Schizosaccharomyces pombe: one gene and its partner. The protein of the gene in region 1 purifies or fractionates together with the protein of each later gene. This does not show direct contact. Each region holds a gene or a part of one and is shown in the gene's direction. Other genes may lie near its edges.

Region 1 (4,103 bases):
ATTTCAAAGCTTCATCATAGTTACCCTTCCAAAAAGACGGCTGACTTTTAATGATATCTGGTAAGTGCTGCCTGCAGTACTTGGCGACTCTGTCGCCTCCGTGCCCATCAAAGACCCCAAAGAAGCTTGTCGGAGGATTAGAAGAATTGGAATCCGTAAAGTTTAGCAACGCACAATGCGCGTCTTCCATCGAAATACGCCATCCTTGCATGTGTGAAACGCCAAAATGAAGCCATCGATCCCCGCCAGAACTCGAATGTTTGTCGAGTACGGGTTCTGAGAGTGTTTGGCCCATGTGTATATTTTCTATTACCTTTGTTAGCCCAGCTAAAAAACCTGTAATTTGCGGTTGATGCGTTTAGTAAAGTTACGGAAAGGAAACAAAAAAAAGTGTATGAGCAAATTAATAGGGAATTTAACCACGCTAGCTAAATAATATATAAGGATACTTTAAAAAAACTTTATATCGCATTACGCTTTAAAGTTGTCTCGTTAAAAAATAGCGATTTTCTGTACACCACGGAAGCGTTGCTTTGCAAATTCGTACGCTTTACGTTATTAACCAAATCGTTGTTGGGTAGAAAAGCGTGAAAATGAAGGGTGGGTAAATAATTTAGTAGAAATGATTTACAATATAAAAAATAAATTTTGATACTGTTAAGCTTCAATGTGCTCCAGCTCCGGCTAATATACCCTCACAAAGACACTAATGAACGATGCCTTGAAATTGCTAGCGCATCGAGGAGCCCTTACTTATAATAAAGCTATGGCGATATCGAAAAAAGTAATCCAAACCCAGGTCTAAAAGCAATTCTTGCTTCTTTCCTTTCACTGTTCGCTCTGGCAAAAAGGTCGTACTGGGAGTCGAACCCAGATCTCGAGAATCAAAATCTCGCGTGCTAACCGCTACACCATACAACCGAGTACGGTAAAGCCGTAGATTATGTTGCTTTACCATAAATGAAAAGTTAATATAATAATCCAAGAGGTAGAGAAATGAGAATGGAATGTTCATGAAAATGTCGTAGACTTTTTCCCCATGCAACTTGGTACATTAATAATACAATAATAAACATAATCTTATTCAAAAAGGCTTTGCTCACAATGCTCATATACCTGCTTACACTAGTCAACTGTTTATACAAGCTCTTCGTAATTAATGTATTAGAAGCTAACTTCGTTAAAAATGTTAAACGTTCATTTCCCGCGATTCGCTATATGGTAAATTTTTTAAAAAGAAATGAGCTGTAGCTAATAAATATCAATGAATGATAGATTGACGCAGCAATAAGAAAAACCATGTATTTTGACTACTGATTTACTAATTTTTAAATCGATCGTGACGTTTTTGTTGTCAATAGCAGCAATAAATCTAACAGTCATCATACTCTGAGAATTTTGCCCTACGACATGCACCTAAAAGACAAGAAACGCAAGTAAATTTTTATAATATTTCAATCATACTGCTGACTGTGCGCAGGTAGTCCTCGAATGTATATATATCTTGTAAATAAAGGATTCATCCTTGTACCGAAATGATATATACTGTACAACCTACAACGTCTTTCTCGGTCGCGCACTGTGTAAGTTCGTTTTTACGAATGCTAAAATAGCTGCTCGCAAATTGGTATAGCAAATTGAGTGTTTATCCATTATCGTTCATTTCTTGTCAGCAATACTACACTACGCTATGATACACTACGTTGCGCATCACTATATGTCATATGTTGGAATACTAGCTAAGATCCGTTTATTGATAATCACGGGTAACTATCCGTCTATATACATAGATACCCGATGATAACAACTATTTAGAAATATTATGAATAGAGTTCCAACTGAACCTCGTTCCTCAGTTCAGTTATGAGCTATATTAGTGATAGGTAACATTATAACCCTGTTAATACAATACCTATTCTCAGTTGCTACTTATACAACCTGTGTAATGTAATATAATAGACCACAAGGAAAACTCACCGCAGTTCTACGTATCCTTAAACCAGATACCAAACTGCGTAGCTTACATTTCTGGGGTTTAAAATTAGAAACCTTGAGCTGTCTTACCTTACGTTATTTATTTGATTTATATCGAAATTTCCAATTTCGTACAGGCCTGACTTTTACCATTATAAACAATCATGAATTCATTACAGAAGGGATCATACAAAGTTATTCCCGGGTCCAGCTTCTCAAAGAATTCAAATGGACTTTTATCTATTAAATGTACGTTGCCCATTTATTTTTAGAGACAGTGTATATCTCTGTTGCAAACTATGAACATCATACTTTCTCCAGGCAGAATACTTATTTCTTTTTTGTTTATAGACAATTTTATACCAGAAAGTGTGGACCCTTCTCGTCGAGGTGTTTTAGAAAAGGCTCAGGAAGCCTATCGTCTACGTCTTCCTTCAACTTTTGTAAGTATTATAAAATTGACTAAGCAAAGTTGGTTTCCCTTTTCTTCCATGAGGAGTAAAAATTTGAAAAAATCATTTTTTTACTTTTTGGTTCCTCAAATTTTGAAACATCAATTTGCTTCTGTTATTGAATCAACGAATGCTAATGTATATCTTCATTGGTAGGATGATGACAGGCCTCATATATTTGAAGGCTCATGCCAACGAGCCAGGAATGTGGACTGTGTACTAATTTTTAACGCTAAAACAAAGGTAAGTTATTGTCCCATATACTATTTTTAAAGAGGTTAAAATCTATGTATGCATGCGTGCATGTGTATGTATAGAACAGGAATCGTTTTCATGTCACTACTACGATACTAACATTAGGCATTAGACATTCACACTGGAGCATATTGATGAGATTGCTCGATTAAATGCTTTACGCAATCCAAAAGTCTCTAAAACTGTACCTTCTAATGCCATCACTCAATCTGATAATTCCCAAATCTCTGAATCCAAATCGACCTCTCAAAGTGCGGTCACGACTAATTCCACGAGACGTAAAGAAAAGGAATTGGAAGCTTCAAAGGATGGAAAAATAAAACCTTCATCGAGCAATACTCGATATCCTGCCATATCTAGCAAGGGACCAATCACCACCGATACCAACGATGAGCCTGACATGGAGGTCATGGAGTTGGATGACTTTGCCAAAGAGTTAGAGCTAGGATTTGATCAGGAATTTAATTCCATAGACGACCCCTCTACAGTATCCCAAACGGCCAGCAAACCAATCTCTTTGAGGGGTCTATCTTCGCAAGAGAGGGATTATGCTTCTTCTGCTCAGGCAGAGGGTATCAGCAGCGCTTCCGAGGATGAGGATTAAGTATGCTTTATGCTGTGTTTCGTATACACTTTCCAAACACGATAATGAGAAAATCTGTTAATGAACGACTTGCAACGAAATTCCAGGGAGTAAAGTAAAGCAAGACAAGTCTTTTCCATCACTACTCGACAGCGAATCGGCGGTAATAAACTCGTTTCACTCTGTGTCATTTTTTTAATTATATACGAACGTGTCTACGCCAAGGGAAAAACATATATCGTTTTAAAATGTTTTCATCTTTTTATATTTCTTTTTATTATTATTAATTCATAATGACTATAAAAAACATGGCTTGTCTTAGCGTTTCATGAGACGGACAATTTTATTCAACCCACGGCAATACCAGAGTAGCAACGTTGGGGTTTTAAATAAACTATAAAAAAAAAAGAAGCTTGACTAGTAAAAAAAAGAATTAGTAAAAGGAGTTAAGAAAAACTAATTGTCTGAACCAGGAAAAAGACAAAAAAAGAGTTTTGACATTCGTTTGTAAATTGCTCAGTAATCAAAGTTGACAGCATTTTGGTTGTCAAGACCATCAGGCTCATTAAATCAGATGATTAAGCATCCTTGCAATCCAACATTTGTCGTTTCAGTTTCCTGCATGCAAAAGACGAGCTTACCTATTTAGTCTGAATATATGAAAATGAAAAGAAGTTACTCAAAGCATTTCCACTAAGGAAAATATATTGTTGTAATTAGAAAAACTAAACTAGAAATCACCATCCAACAGCATCAGTCAGTATAGATAGTGTCAACTAGCGGTGTGTTTTACCAGGTAAACATGTTGGACAAGGAATATAATGAATACGTTGTTTAAG
Region 2 (4,868 bases), on another chromosome or scaffold:
TTGATTTGTTTTTGCGGTTAATTGATTTTCAAGTCGCTTTAGGAAGAAAATATGGTTTACGGACTCAGTCTTCGCAATCAATTTTAGGTTGTTTCGGTGTATCTTATATATTTTTTTTACGATCATTAATGTTTATTCGTAAGGTTGCAATGTACCTAATAACCAGTGGTCTCTGTGCAAAGCTCTAAAGCCTTGACAGAGCATAAACCTTTACATTTATGTAAAAACCTCAGTTTTATATCTCGATGTAGTTTTGAATCTCGAAGAGAAAAAATGATATTATAAACAAGGCCTTGTTAACCAACACATATTGATGAAAGCATTTTTTTTGAAATCACCTTAGTTTAATTGACTTTAAAAAACTTTCAATAACTTGTAGTAGTCATCATCTAATTGCATTGCGAATTTCTTCTTGCTAACTACTTTAATTTGAAATTCTTTTTTTTTAACAAACATGGTATAAACATTTGCGCTGATTCTTATCCAATATTCTCGTATGGAAACCTCTTATATTATACTAAACGATTTGTTATATCACCGAATCAGCAATTTTTCAATCAGAAAGATTCTTTTCTTTCAATGAAAAAAATCTAAAAAAAAAACAATTTTCAAGATAGTGTTTCTTAGTAACCTAAAATTTTAAACTCATTCGGCTTCCAATTTATCAGCTGCGCACACTAAAACATTAGCAGTCAACAAGTTGGATTATCAAGTTTCTTATTACGTTTCCCTGCAAACTTGCACTGAGACCGCCTTGATGTTTCACATCAAATTTTGAGCTCAGGAAACAACTCATGAAATTTTTTTTATCACTGAAAGATTTTAAAGGAGAAAAATTCGTCCTACGCTCAGAATTGGATGAAAGCAGTGCTTTCTTGTGCGCAATTAGCCCAACCTGTAGATACGTCTTAAGGGGTATAGAAAGATAGTGTGTAAAACGTTCTTTTACTAATTTTCCAGATGAAATACCTTGGAAACGATTGCAACGGAACGTAACCTCAGAATCATTAACCGATGAACTTATCGTGGATCTGTTGTGCGGCAGATCCGAATCAAAGCACACATTGCAATTAGTGGTTTTAGAGAATTTATGTAGGGTATGTTTATTGCAATACTGTAGTAGTTAATGAATTGCTGATTGTGTGATGACTTTCAAACCAAGGAATTTTTTTGTTCGTCGCATCTACCCCATTTTGCCAGTCGTTTTTGAGCTGATTAATTAAATATGCTAACAATTTAGATTTATATCAACTACGTTGATCCTTTCCCTTTACGTATTGCCTGGTTTGAATTAGAACAACAAGCATTGAAAGACCATGAACATTTTGATGTACTGTGGGAGTGCAGCCATTCGATAAAGGTATGAAAAAAACTTTACATTCTTTCTCTTTTGCTGATTATTTGAAATTTAGGACCTTGCCCTTGCTAGTATGGCTCAACAAAAAAACGAGCTTCAAAAGCTTATGGCTTATACAGAGCAACTTCAAGAAGAATGTAAGTCTAGGGAACGAAAGCTTATAATGAAATTTGCAGATATGATTAAAAATGCAAGAAATAACGAGGATAATGAAGACAACCACCATATTAATTATGAGGATGAATCTGATGTCGGGACAGACGAGCAAAAGCAGCAAGAGGGAGTCAATTCTTCCGCAGTCTCTGATACTGACGAATCTGCAGTTTCTGATGAATTTATGCAGATAAAAGAAGAATTTCCAATGAAAGCATTGAGCGCTTCACCAACTGCAGACGCTTCTCCCGAGTCAGCAGGTGAAGATGATTCACATAGGCGATCGTCCCACGAAAGTAGCGAAACAGTTTCTGAGTAGCTTCGGAAGGAATGATAATATGATACATTACGCTTCAAGTTAAACTACCCGAAATGCCTCTCCATTCTTACACTTTTTTCAGTATTCAGGTCAACTTTATTCTCTTTAATTTCAAAACAATAATAAATTTACTTAAATTTAAATATTCACACGGAATCCTACTATAGGTAAAGCACTTGCAAGATAAATACAATATGTATAGTTGGTGAATTTTTATAAAGATGTCTTATAAGCCTAGCACTTCCTTCCTGTACAAAAGAATGAAGCATGTTTGCGATCGTGTTTACCATGCTATTATTTTCTGATCCACTTTTTCTTCAGCAAATTTACTATTTACATATATAATTTGTTACTCAAGGTTGGGCGCGTTCTGAAGTAACGTGTTTATTACTTGTCGACAATACGCTTCATAATTTCACCAAAATCCTATAACCAAGCCTGTTGTAATTTTATACTGGGATTTAGGCTTGAATATTCTTTTTTGACGGCATTTAGCAATTTTTGGCTTTGGATAAATGAATGCTTAGCTGTGTGGGCAAACGGGTTTTCGCTATTGGAAACGCAGTTACTAATTTGAATTTGCTAACATTCATACTGTTTTTAAATTAAATGCTGTGAAGATTTCTTTTCTTAAACTTTTCATATCTTTTCGAGTTACATGCTATCGGTAATTGCGCTAATTGACGCGAATTCTTAATATAATAGGCATTATTTGTTGTCTTCTAATCGAAATCTTTTAATTCCATAGCATATCTCTTTTTTAAGTAAATACTTTTATTTGAATAGTTTATACAGCGCATGCGATGAGCAACGACAGCAGTGATAATCAAATTCGTCGTCGGCATCATCCAGTACTGCCTAAGGGTTCCTTTCAGAAAAAGGACGATTCTATCGTCTTAGAACAGGAATTATCTACTCCAAAACAAGTCAACCAAGCCCGTCCAAAGTTTCCATCTCCAATTACTCCTACTCTTCCTGAAATGCATCTTCCCGTAGGGAATTCAAAATTCCAAGCGGTATTGCCAAGCTTGATAAGCCCTACGCTTCCTCCTGGGTTTGGAATGGCAAGCGATGACTCTGAAGCATCGTTAGCAGAGAACGATTTACATCCCTTGGATAACGATTCTACACGTACTAGCAAAACGCTTAAAAATTCATCAGAGGTTTTAACCGCTTCCAAACTTACTGATGAAGGTAATTCTAAACCTTTGTTGGAGGAAGGGGAGGTAGCTGTCAGTTCTCCAATTCTCCTTGATTCAAAAGATGTAATAATGGGAGTCACTAAGAGCTCAAAAAATCTAGTTGAAGATGCTCACAAATCAAAGAAGGCCTCCACGAACAGTTCCATAAATAATATGGTATCTACTGTAAATTCTGAAAATTCTAATGTTAATAATGGATCCTCGTTGAATGGTAACACCAGCAGCAATCTCAAGAGAAAAGCCAATGTAACGTTAGGTGATTATAAGCGCTTAAAAGTAAAAAACAAGAATCCTTCTTCCCAAGAGCTGATCACAGCTGATGTTGACAAAACATCTGGTTCACTGTCTGAAAAGTCGGAAGTAAATCATGCCTCTTTGAAGAAAACGTATATGCGTCTTCTTAACAGTGGGAAAATGCAAAAGAAAGAATGTGATAAGAAAGGAAAATTTTTCGAAGCGTACGCTGTAGATGCTGTTTTATGTTACACAGTTGCTTTTCACCTACAGAATCTTTCCAATCTTTCGAGAAACCATCCCGCTACTACGAGTAACTGGAGAACCCTCCCTGCGTATATTCAGTTTCTCATAAAAGAAGAGGATAAACTGGATCCTTGTATTCAAGGACTATTTTTTCTTTTACTCGGGATTGCATTTCGTGAAATTTTTCATATCGAGGTTATGAGGATACGACACTCACAATTGAATCTTATGAGAGACATAAAAGAAAGCTCAAGTGGATTAACATCTGCCAAGTCCCTCGGTGATGCACAGAATTTATGTGAGAATGCGGTGCGCCTTTACTCTTCGTATAAACATTACATTACATCTATGAAGAAGGGAAGTTCGTTGTTGACAATTGAATATATCTCATCTACTGCACCAAATACTTTTAACGAATTTTTTGTCCAAAAAAAGGCAAATATCCCTTTGCCATTAGATATCGACGCTCCAATTGGTGTCACAATCAGGTTTAGTCACAATTTATTAAACGAATGGATTAAAAAGCAAGGAGATGTTTTTGAGTCAAAGCTTTTAAAAGAAGATATCGAAAATCTTCAATCTTTAGAAGAAAGCTACCCCATTGCCCAATATTTATAAATAATTGTATTAACTCCCATAACTTGAAAGATTTGAGTCGGTCTTCAATAACAGAATGTCATTCTTTCACTAATAAAGTTACTTAATGTATTTTGCTTTATCATGCCTTTGTGTTTATTTTCAAATATGTAGAATAATCGAATAGATATTGATTCCCACGCTAAGTAGAAGTAATAAACTAAAACGTTTAGAATGCATGAACTTCTTAAGTACCTAGTACTATTCTGAATTTATATGATACGTTCACTGTAAAGATTTAAAAAGTCGTAAAAAAGTTCGAGGCTAGACTTAATTGTCTTTTAATACTAGATATACAAAGAAAGGCGATAAGCCTTTATACTCATGGTAATAAATAAAGAGCGATTTCAACAATGCGAGAGTCCTCCTTAATAATATGCAAATTACAGACGATAGAAACGTTTAAGCTGAAGAGGAAGTATTAACTCTTTCAGAATTACTGTACACAATAGGCTTTTCTTTCGAGCTCGGATGACGACGTTCTAACTTTGAAAGAATGCGACGACCACAGGGCGTATTCTTTATGCTTGGAATAAGTGGTTTAATCCGTTCAACCAACTCTGCGCGTTGCTTTACACTCGCATTATCAAGTGCCGTTTGAATAACATAATTAGCGAAAGAATCACGAAGTAACTTGGGAAGATGCTTTTCATCCATTAGTTCCGAAATCAGTTTTTCCTTAATAGCAGCGGGAGCAAAAAATATACACTAGTAAATTGAT

What was found.
Region 2: the proteins of eaf1 (region 1) and ebp1 purify together in Schizosaccharomyces pombe (affinity purification with western blotting; one study listed by BioGRID). This does not show direct contact.

What each region holds. Positions count from the first base shown.
Region 1 is NC_003421.2:1,859,949-1,864,051, reverse strand, and holds eaf1 (RNA polymerase II transcription elongation factor Eaf1), read left to right. Parts: upstream 1-2,115; 5' UTR 2,116-2,138; coding exon 2,139-2,223; intron 2,224-2,325; coding exon 2,326-2,417; intron 2,418-2,582; coding exon 2,583-2,669; intron 2,670-2,793; coding exon 2,794-3,285; 3' UTR 3,286-3,585; downstream 3,586-4,103. Other genes in the region: serine/threonine protein phosphatase PP2C catalytic subunit Ptc2, read right to left, coding at 1-295.
Region 2 is NC_003424.3:3,275,912-3,280,779, reverse strand, and holds ebp1 (protein Ebp1), read left to right. Parts: upstream 1-2,246; 5' UTR 2,247-2,632; coding exon 2,633-4,129; 3' UTR 4,130-4,288; downstream 4,289-4,868. Other genes in the region: protein Xrc4, read left to right, coding at 795-915, 961-1,097, 1,241-1,360, 1,413-1,829; puf4 (RNA-binding protein), read right to left, coding at 4,550-4,855.